3 linked regions of the Caenorhabditis elegans genome follow. The protein of the gene in region 3 interacts with the protein of the main gene of each other region in a pairwise test. Each region holds a gene or a part of one and is shown on either strand. Other genes may lie near its edges.

Evidence for each region.
Region 1: the proteins of Y39A1A.3 (region 3) and cct-5 interact in a two-hybrid assay, tested with the Caenorhabditis elegans proteins (one large-scale study listed by BioGRID).
Region 2: the proteins of Y39A1A.3 (region 3) and tgs-1 interact in a two-hybrid assay, tested with the Caenorhabditis elegans proteins (one large-scale study listed by BioGRID).

The regions. Positions count from the first base shown.
Region 1 is NC_003281.10:4,506,217-4,509,971, reverse strand, and holds the start of cct-5 (T-complex protein 1 subunit epsilon), read left to right. Parts: upstream 1-1,857; 5' UTR 1,858-1,887; coding exon 1,888-1,995; intron 1,996-2,102; coding exon 2,103-2,328; intron 2,329-3,755. Other genes in the region: F25F2.1 (Protein kinase domain-containing protein), read right to left, coding at 150-340, 740-994, 1,041-1,043.
Region 2 is NC_003279.8:8,903,693-8,907,447, reverse strand, and holds the start of tgs-1 (Trimethylguanosine synthase), read left to right. Parts: upstream 1-2,000; coding exon 2,001-2,140; intron 2,141-2,468; coding exon 2,469-2,584; intron 2,585-2,638; coding exon 2,639-2,913; intron 2,914-2,960; coding exon 2,961-3,134; intron 3,135-3,354; coding exon 3,355-3,494; intron 3,495-3,536; coding exon 3,537-3,755. Other genes in the region: vps-13A (Vacuolar protein sorting-associated protein 13), read left to right, coding at 1-129, 174-653, 700-1,413, 1,463-1,582.
Region 3 is NC_003281.10:10,594,603-10,598,270, reverse strand, and holds Y39A1A.3 (Sjogren's syndrome/scleroderma autoantigen 1 (Autoantigen p27)), read left to right. Parts: upstream 1-1,783; 5' UTR 1,784-1,802; coding exon 1,803-2,042; intron 2,043-2,384; coding exon 2,385-2,481; intron 2,482-2,614; coding exon 2,615-2,913; 3' UTR 2,914-3,013; downstream 3,014-3,668. Other genes in the region: epg-6 (Ectopic P granules protein 6), read left to right, coding at 1-224, 1,139-1,314; Y45F3A.9 (rRNA methyltransferase 1, mitochondrial), read left to right, coding at 3,109-3,209.

The sequences.
Region 1 (3,755 bases), 6.1 Mb from region 3:
ACGGGTAGCCATAAAGTAGACGTCTAGGTAGGAATAAAGTAATTATGTAGGCATGGATGCCTTACGTAGGCATGCATAAGGTAGACACGCAGTTAGGCTTGATAAAGGCACAGGTAGGCACTTTGCGAGGCAACTCTTATTCCACTAACTTCTCAGCAATGACCACATGATCCGTCGATCTCAATTCAGCACGTGTCTTGAGGTAAGTGTTCAATGTTTTCACCGTCTCAATTGTGACTTTTGGATCGACATACATCTCTCGCCATTCGGCTTCCAGCACTTTCCGGGCAAAGTTCGGAGGATCTTCCGGTTTTCGGAACAGAGATCCCGCCATGCGATACTGAAAATGAGTACATAAATATCAAATTATAACCGAAAAAGTAGGCATAAAGGCGACCTACGCCTGCCTCATGGCTGCCACTTTCATCAAGCATTTGGAAGTAGGAAAGTATAATTCTGGGCATAGTTTGCTCTCTGCAACACCTTTTCCGAGTACGGTAGCTTCCCAGGTCCGCTAACACCATCAAGCATAACTTTACAGCATGCCTAAATAGGCATGTATTAGGCTCCATTTGCCGGCAAATTGCAGAAACACCGCAAAATGCCGTAGTTCTCGTGGTTTTTGCGTATTTTCGAAGGTACAGTAACCCTGAAACTGTATGATGCGCGATACTCCAATGCAACAGTCTGCCGAACGTGTAATAGTATCCAAAAAAGTTCAGAAATCCGGAATGTATACCTTCTTATCGATATTTGCAGCATCAACTGCTAATTTTGACTTGACTTTCTCGAGCTGTCTCTGACTTTCACCCGATTCTTCAGATTCTTCAGAAGTTGAAGAATCTCGTGCCTCTTTCTTCTTCTTTCTCTCCTTTTGCTTCTTTTTATCCTTCTTGTTCTTCTTTTCAAGACTATTCTTCTTCTGAGTCGATTTTTCTTTTTTCTTCTTATCCGCTTTCTTTTTCCGTTTATCGATTTTTTTAATTAAGCGATCCTGAACACCGGTATTCTCAGATATTCCTCAAGCCTTTTGATCTTACCATTCGTTTTTCTTATACTTCTCGAACGCTGGTTTTTGAAGCAAACACCAACTCGGACCACCGTAAAATTGAAACTGAATTTTATTTGTTTTTTTTTCAAAACCTTCCCCCCTTATCTCCACATTCAATCTATTTAGCACTCACGCTTTCAATACTTTCAATTAAAAAAGGCGAAAATTATTTGTTAAATAAATAAAATTTATTCTCGCTATAGTGTTTAAACTTTAATTTAAATTTAACTATTTAAATTTGACTATTTAAATAATTTCAGACCCAATTCTTTCCCTTCACTGTTCAATTTAAATCGAGAATAGTGGCGCCGAATTTCTCTGCGACTACGGTCAAAAATTGCGGACTTGCCGCGTACACCATGACGCGCAATTGCACATGTGACATTTTTCTAGAAGATTTTCAATTTTTTTCGTCAAAAAACGTTCATTTCACCTCAGTTTTTTTAAGTTGGCTGATGAAATTATATCCAGAAATTTAAAATTCAAACCTATTTCCAGTTTCTGTCCGCTCTGCACTCAGATTTAGCATTTTAGGTCGATTTTCAGTGTTCTTGGTATCATTGCATTTTAAAATTCTTCGAGAAGATCCCGAATAACCGAACAGCTGCCAATGTTGCTATTCCAATTTTCTTTCGTTCATTTTATTCATTCCTCGAGAATATTCTGCGGGTTTGATATCGAGAACATTGTTTCGAAATGCTGAATTTCGTTTCTTTTTCTTATTTTTGAAAATCAATTCTCTTTCAACAACTTATACTTAAATAATTTTCTCTTAATTAAAATTTTTAACATGCTAATATTTTCAGTGTCTGTCAAGACGGAACTTGGATAAGAAAATGGCGCAGTCATCTGCGCAACTACTGTTCGATGAGAGCGGGCAACCGTTCATCGTTATGCGTGAGCAGGAGAACCAGAAGCGTATCACCGGAGTTGAAGCTGTGAAAGTATGTAATAATTATTTTTTTAACCGGAACATTTAGTTTCTAAATGTTATGTTTTCATGTTTGACAAGTCCTGAAGTTTGTTCTTAAAATTAACTTCATTATTTCAGAGTCATATTCTTGCCGCTCGTGCTGTGGCCAACACTCTTCGCACATCTCTCGGTCCACGTGGACTCGACAAGATGCTCGTTTCTCCAGACGGCGATGTCACCATCACCAACGACGGAGCCACTATCATGGAGAAAATGGATGTGCAACATCACGTTGCCAAGCTTATGGTTGAGCTCTCCAAGTCTCAAGATCACGAAATTGGAGACGGAACCACTGGTGTCGTTGGTGCGTTTTTTTTTTTGGCAGAATTCAGCGCGCACCTCGTAAAATTAGATAGCTTAAACTTATTATGATTATCATGTGAGAGTTGAATATATTTTAGTTTAGAAAACCTTTCCTAATATCAAGTAAATTCCTAGCGAAATTCTTTCCTCTGGTGATTCTCTATGAACATTTTTCGATTCATGTCTAGAAAATGTCCACATTTCTCCCTTTTCTTCGTCGTAACTAAACCGTGTTTGCTTTCCGATTTTTCCTTTTTTGGTCGCTGTCCTTCATTTTCTTCTGCTGTGTAGTTTCGTCTGCAGCATAGTTTAAAATTATTTCGGTTTAACGTTTGAAATTCACCTCAACTACGTAAACCATAATCTTGATAAACTTCGGAATAGCTTTGATAGTTGTAACAAGATTTTCATTTTAAAAAAGCAAAGAGTTGATGTTATTGTCTGAGCTTGTGGATACAGCCGGCAAATCGAAATTTTGATTGCAGGATTTTTTGTAAACGTCACCAGCAGCTGCATTTTAAAATGCCATTGAGAAGCAAATTCGTGAGCATTTAGAGTAAAAGAACTGAAATGTTCATTGATTTTTTCATAAAATGACCGTATTTTTATGATGACTATGAGAAGCGCACCTATTTGTTGACGTCATAAACCCGGAATAAGTCTGAATTTCGAGACAATCAGTCTGAGTCACTCGGCAAAATTGGTTATCGATAATTTTTCGTGCTGGTTATAAAAACGAACTCTGTACACATGAAATTCGAAGTGAAACGTGTTTCATCTGCAATCTTTTCTTTATCAGTATCACACATTAAATCGAAATACTTTCTATCGAAAATGTATATTTTGTTGTCACCCTCTGGTCATTCATGATAATTAATTTAAAAAAAAAAGAACCCTTAGCCGTTCCTTTAAAAGTTTGAAATGTTTGATCTATGAGAAAGTGCGCCTGCTCGTTGTCGATCGTTCTAACTAAACAATCCATTTGCTCTCCTTTTTCGCTGTGCCCGACGCTCCGACAAAATAAAAAACGAAAAGATTGCTCATTTTTCTGATGGTGTGAGCACACAAAAGCCAACAGTTGAATGGGAGGTCTGTCGATTCTCCATGTTCTTTGATTCTTCATTGTTTCTATCTGCACCTTTCTATGACGAAGAAATACACGATAAGCTATCTTTCTTTCATTTTTTCAAGTGAATGTTGACCTCCAGACCTTGGAGTCTTAACAATTCTCCGTTTGCACCATTTTTCTTACGTAACCATATGTTTGCGAAAAACGTGGGCAAATATGGTATCGTATGAATTGCATCGTTAAAAATTCCAGTTCTTATCATATTGTGTTTCTTTTTTGATAACGATTGATGTCGACCCGTCGATTTAGAGCGTCTTTATGGATTTTTGATATATTTTTTGTGTGAAATTTTGTCACTT
Region 2 (3,755 bases), on a different chromosome or scaffold from region 3:
TTTTCGTCGATTGCCGAGATTGAATACGGGCATGTTCTTATTCAAGAGTTTTCGGTTCAAGTCGATCAAGGACTCATAAATGCGCTTCTTTTGCTCATATCAGGAGAAGTGACAAGAAAACCATATGGAGTTAGTAGTTTTAATAAAATATTTCATTAATGATATCTTTTCAGAAAGAAATGTTCGACGAAGATATCAAAATTTGCCACGTTACACTCTCTGAAACTGCAAGCACATACCGTTCTCAGCGCCCCAAGAGCTTCTACAACGATCTTCACATTTCTCCAATTATGATGCATCTCTCTTTCTCACAGGGAGGAACTTCTGGAGACGTTGCAGCTTCAGGAGTAAGCATGCCTATCCAATCAGAAATGATCAATGTTTTGCTTCGATCTGTAGGAGTAACACTAACAGAACTTCAAGACGTCGTTTTCAAACTTGCATATTTCGAGCGTAAATGTGTCTTTTATAGTCCAGAGCAGTTGAATAGCGAAATTATTTCTCATTATGCCAAACAGTTCATTAAACAAGTTTATGTACTTGTATTAGGACTCGACATCATTGGAAATCCATTCGGTCTCGTTCGTGACTTGTCTGCTGGAGTTGAAGATCTTTTCTATCAGCCATTCCAAGGTGCTATTCAGGGTCCAGAGGTATTGGTTAGATATAATCTTTTCATATAATTTTTATTTTTTAAAGGAATTCGCTGCCGGAGTTGCACTCGGTGTTCAATCGATGTTTGGACATGCTGTTGGTGGTGCTGCTGGAGCAGTTGGCCGAATCACTGGAACTGTCGGAAAAGGAGTCGCTGCGCTTACTTTTGACGATGATTACATGAAAAAACGCCAAGAAGATCTAAATCGTAAACCACAATCATTTGGTGAAGGTATGGCTCGTGGACTCAAAGGACTTGGAATGGGAGTTGTTGGAGGAATAACTGGTGTTGTTACGAAACCAATAGAAGGAGCAAAACAGGAAGGAGGATTTGGATTTGTGAAAGGAGTTGGAAAAGGTCTCATTGGTGTAGTTACTCGTCCTGTCTCGGGAGTTGTAGACTTTGCCAGTGGTACCATGAATTCGGTTCGTGCAGTTGCTGGAACAAATAGAGAAGCCGGACCACTCAGACCACCCCGTGTACTCCGAGAAGACAAGATCGTCAAACCATATTCGAGCGGAGACGCTTATGGATTCAAAGTGTTCAAAGACACAGATCGTGGAGAGCTCGCTGAAACTGATGAATTTGTCACCTACGCATCTATCAGCGAAAAAATGGTTCTCATTATAACGGACCGTCGATTGGTTCTCAGCAAACGTACTGATATGATGGGTGTGTGGCAGACAGAGTGGGGATCAGAGTACTGTAAGATCAAAGAGCCCGAGTTTATTCCAAATGGTGTCAAAATTTTGTTGAAGGTAATATAATATTTTTAAAAATATTTTTGTTCAATACTGTAAATTCCAGGAAAAGAAGAAGGGATTCCTCGGAATCGGTTCCTCTGAAGGAAAGATAATCACATTCCAAAACGCAGAAAAGATTCATCCAAAGCTGGCAGCCGCCTACAAGAAGGCAACACTTGCGTAATACTATTTTTATTTAATCCGTTGATTTTCTCATGAAACGGTCAAAAATGTTCATAATACTTTCTATCATATTCTTTTTTGTCACATTTATTTTTTGTCTATCAAAATATTGAATCGCTACGGATCGTTTTTCTTCATTTCCTGGTTTAAAAATTATTCCCATATTTAAAGTTTTATGTATCGGCCTCCGTAATTAAATTAAATAAAGCATTTTCTTGGGTCATTGCGAAACAATTGCAAAATGTATTTGTGTCTGCACCCTCTGTTCGGTATTATAATCCCTAATATCTTTGTTTCTGTATACTCTCTTCACTCTCAATCTAGTTTCACACATTTCGAAAAACTCGTTTTTGATTGTGGCATTGCAAAAAAGAATATAATCCATATTCCTTTCTTCTAGTAAGCAAATCAATATTTGAATGTCATCGGAAAGTGTCAGCGAGGAGCAGAGTGATTATCAATGGCCTTGGTGTCTAATGGGACATTTTGGAATACAATTTTTGGAGACTGACAACTCGGAGTCTTTTGTTGAGGGAGATTTGTCCAGAGCCTATATAAAGTGAGATTTTATAACGATTACTTTTTAAATAAATTTTTGATGTTTGGAAATTGAAAATTTTGTAGAAAAATTTAATGAACAAACGCGCTCTATTGAGTAGATATTTCCGTACTTTATTTTGAGATATTTTTTTATCGGAAACTCATTTAAAAGGAGTATATTAAATGCCCCTCCGCTAATATAGTATTTTTAAAACCTATTTCTCGAAATATACTACCCGTTAAGAATTCTACATATCTGAAATATAGAAAACTTTGTGACAATTGCGCCATTCTCATAATAATCTTACTTTATAATGTTTTTCCCTTCATAATTAATTTTTTTAAAGAGACTACGAGCTTCTTAAAGCAAGTAAACGGCCAAGAGAAGAAAAATCACCTGAGAAACTACTTCAAGAAGAGATGGACGAGATCAGCCTGAAGGAAATTGATACAGAACCGAATGGTGAGATATTATATGGGGAGAAGTACTTTTGATTATAATTCGAAAGATTTTCAGGAGAAGAAAAACTACTCGACGAGAGAGATACACCATACGAGGTTCTACCAAAGTGGACTTGTGATAAGCGGAAAATGAAAAAAAAGAAAGAAAAGGGCAGGTACAACTATCGGTCTTTCGAAGAATATTGGGATGTTTCGAGCTACTGGTTGCACCAAATTACGTGGCTTAATGATTTCGGAAATCAAATGACGGAGGAAAATCGGAATGAGCTGACGAAACAATGTGAAGTGATGAAACCAATTTATCCCATTGATCAGCATAAGGATATTCTGGTAATTTTTCCAATTCAATTCATTCTGTCTCATACATTTTATTTTAGGAAAACCCAGACTATCAACAGATCACCAAGACAATGATTGAGAAAAATCCCGAATCGACCTTTGAGGATATTTACACGAAACATTGTAAACTGATCAAGAAGCAATCTGAAAATGATTTTCATGATTTTCAAACGAAATTTGTCGCAAATCGGTGCAAGGATATGCTATCTAGAGTTCGTTATTATTTTTTTTTCGAGTTTTGAGACCGTCAACATTCTAATTAGGACATACGGAGTCGCTTCTTTTCTGATAGTATAATTTTTCTTTCTCTTATTTTCCGCTATACTCCCATATTTTTATTTTTAAAAAAGTGAATACTGGAAAGAAGTGAGTACCTGCCCTAATCTTAAACAAATTTTTAAACAACTCATTTTGATTTGTTATATATTTCAGATCAAACGACTTGGTTATGCTCCAGGTTTTGAAGAATCTCAACTACCTGTCTTCCATAGTGGAGCTGAACAAGAGATCGAGAGACCAATTATAAAAGATATCAGATACACGATTGACGAGTCTTACTCCAAAAAATTCTGGTACTGCCTGGAATGCAATATTTAATTATTTCAATCTTTCAGTGGCGCCGATCCTCGAGATGAAACTTCAGATGAACCTTCAACTTCCGAAGAATCACAATCTGCTGATGTTTCGTCTGCAGTTATATCAATCAAAAATCCTGCAGAAATTCGATTTAACTTCGATCCCGAAACTGAGCAGCACTTGATTGCATCTAATGCTGAAAAGTTGTATGCAAATGATCCAGAGATCAGCAAGTATTACTATCAACGTTATCGTTT
Region 3 (3,668 bases):
TGAACTTCGTCGTGGAACTGTTCAGGCTCACCTTCAGTGTATGGCTTTTTCACCGTGCTCGAGTTATTTGGCAGTGGCTAGTGATAAGGGAACTCTGCATATGTTTGGAATTCGAGATGCTGAGCCACAAAAAAAGAAAAATGTGCTCGAAAGGAGCCGTGGAAGCTCAAGTATTGTGAAAATTCAGCTGGATAGGCCTGTCATGGCTATTGGATTCGGAAAAAGTTAGATTTGAAATATTTTTGAAAAATTTTGGATAAGAACACTCCTAATTTGGATTTTTGGAGAAAATCTTTTAAAAAAATGTACTGTTTTTTTTCCAAAAAATTGAAAAAAAAACATAAAAAATTTTAGATATCTCGGTTTTTTTATAGGAGAAAATCAAAAATCAATAATATTCGATTTGTCGATTTTTTCTTTAAAAAAAAACGAAAAAAAATCAGAAAACTATGGTTTTATCAAAAAATATGTTATTTTTCCGAAAAATAAAAGAAAATTGCCTTTAAACTATTAAAAAATGACCGGAAATTATTGAAATTTTGATATTTTTCAAAAAAAAAAATTAAGTTTTTTCTTAAAATCGAAAAAAATTAGTAAAAATAATTTTTAAAAAGGCGAGGAAACTATGGATTTATCAAAAACATGTTGATTTTTATGAGAAAAACTTAAAGAAATTACTGGAAATTATTAAAAATTTGATATGGAAAAAAATCGAAAAAAAAACCAAAAAACATACCTTTCCGAATTTTCTGAAAAAATTTGAAAACTAGTTTTTTATTTTTTTTAAATCGAAAAAAATTATTAAAAACTAGATAATTTCCAAAATAAATTCGAAAATATTCGGCTTAGAGATCTGATATTAATTTTTTTAAATCATGTCCATTTTGTAGACGAATGAGAAATTATTCTGTTAAAAATTCAAAATGTTCCCGATTTTATTTTTAGAAATTTCGAAAAAAATGAAATTGCCCTCAAAAAATAATTTTTCAATATTTTTGAAAATTTTCCAAGCGAAATTTTTTTTCTAAACATCGAAACAAATTATCTGAAAGCGTAGCCGTACGACTATTAATTTCATAATATAAATTTAAAATTATTTGAATATTTATACATATGCCCAATTTTCAAGAAAAAAAAGTTCCAGAAACGCCGAAAAATCTGCAAAGTATCATCGCAATCTGCGCAGACGCCACGTACTGGAGACACGAATTCTACAAGGACAACACTGGAAATTTCACGAGTCATTTTGGGTCTTACGACGAATTGATCGAGGTCGCCAACGATTCATCGTTCTTCCGTACGCCAGTCGAGTAGAAATGTGGAAATGTGTATAAAAAATGTTCAAAATTGTGCTATATTCATCACTCAAACCTGCCATGTGCCTTTAAATTGCTTTAAAAAAAAAGAAATAATGCCATTTTTTTTTCCCGAGAAAGCCCCTCCCAATTGTTGGCATTTTTCGCCCTAAAATTCAAATTTAAAGGTGCAAATGGCCCTACTCACTTCATTTTCCCTCCACTTTCAATTTTTCGTACTTTCTCTCTGAATTTCCTCCTCTACGTTGCGTTTTGCTCAATTTTTCTGTTTCTGTGTGTACATTTTTGTTATTTTTTCCTTCTCTTGGTTAAAAATCCGAATAAAATTCAATTTTTCGTTTAAATTTTTTAGAAACATTTTGAATTTTCCGTTTATCGATCGGCGAAATACTCTTTTTTTTTTCAGAATTTCGAATTTTCGAACCAGAAAAATCGAAAAAAAATCGAAAAAATCTTTTTTTTTCCAGCTTTTCCGTTGCTCAGTTTATGGTCCACAAGAAGTTTGTGAATCTGACGTCGACACGAGAATCCACGTGGATTGACAGAACCCCACATCCCGCGGCACGCAATTATCTCGACGAAATGGCACCAATCAACGGAATTCGTGATGATGACGCTGCGTCAATTCGTCTCCGAGATAGCTTTCGAGATGAGGTCTCGAAGCGAATGGGCGAACTTTTGTTAAAGGGACAGACGATGTTGGATGAGTACTGCCCGACTTGCAGTGTAAGATGAAGACTAATATTACGGTAAACACTAAATTCTGAGAATGCGTATTGGGCAAATCATTTGACACGCAAAATATAAAATATCTCGTAGCGAAAACTACAGTAATTCATTAATTGACTACTGTAGCGCTTTTGTCGATTTACGGGCTCAATTTTTGCAAATCAAGATCCCGTAAATCGACACAAGCGCTACAGTGGTCCTTCTAAAGAATTACTGTAGTTTTCGCTACGAGATATTTTGCGCGTCAAATATGTTGTGCAATACGTATTCTCAGAATTTTGTGCTCCGGTAATACGTGGCCACTGACTGATTATTTCAGTTCAAATTTTTTTTTTTCAGGGAATTCTCATGGAGGACCGAGCTCTCGTGCGTCGTTGCGTCACCTGTGAACTTTTCAGAGAAAAATCGTCGGTTATTGTCGGCGAGGTTTCATTGCGTAAGGGATTTTGTCGCAAAAAATTACTAAAAATTAAATTTAAATTTTTTTATTTGAATTTCTAAAGATCTTCTGAAAAATGTCTTACATTTCGTGGCGAGACCCAGAAATCTATAGACCTATAAATTTTCAGAAGACGAAGACCTGAATGAAGCTGTGAACAACAAGATCCCAACCCCAGCGGCTCCAGTGAATAAACCAGCGAAAAAAGCAGTGCTCCAGAAATCTGCTCCAGCGAAAAAGAAGGAAGCTGTTCCGGCTGCTGCTGAGCCATCATCGTCTGATACAATTGAATCAGCCACCACTGCAGTCCTTCAGAAGCTCGAATGGGCCACCGATCGGCTCAATTCAACGGAAGAAGTCGCTCGTGTCATGGATTTTCTTTCCGTCATTCAAAAATCTGCCGAAACTCTCAAGGCTCTCCGTATTTGAATCTCATGTTGCTCTTTTTGTTTTCGAATTTTGTGGTTCAATTATTGCTTGTTGGTATAATTTGAAACATTTTCAAAATAAATAAACGCTTTTTCCATTTAAATTAATTTTTGAAAAACGTAGTAGTAAAATGCAAAGTTTGAATATCGATTTTAAGGACAATTAGCAATCAATAATCTAGAAAAATTCAGAAAAATGCATCGGACCGCCCGAAATTTTGCGGAGATCAAGCCGAATTTGTTGTTCCGAAAAGCAAAAATGGCTAGGAAATCCGCGGAGAAATATGTGGCCAAAAAGTGGGTCTCGCCACGATTACATCCCAGAGTTTTCAAAATTTAGGTCATATCGAAAATAACGAGTAAAAAATTAATAATTATGTCTTTAAGCTAATTTTCAAGCTTTGGGTCCTGACACGAGTAAGACTTTTGAACTACAGTAACCACTCCAGTACTTTGCAAAGGTGTGTACCTTTAAAGAATACTGTAGTTTCAAACTTTGATTGCTCCTGAATTTTTGTCGATTTTTCAGACTTTGGATAAAAATGTGTTTACTGTTTAAAAAAACCATAAGTTAAAAAAATCGATAATATATCCGCAAAAACTAGAAATTACAGTACTCTTTAAAGGCGCATTCCCATGTGCATTCGGCACCGTATTTTTTAGGCAATTCATTCGCATTTGGGTATAAAAGCCATTAAAACACGAGAAAAACCAGGAAAAAACTGAAAAAAAATTAAACGACTGGTTACGGTAGCT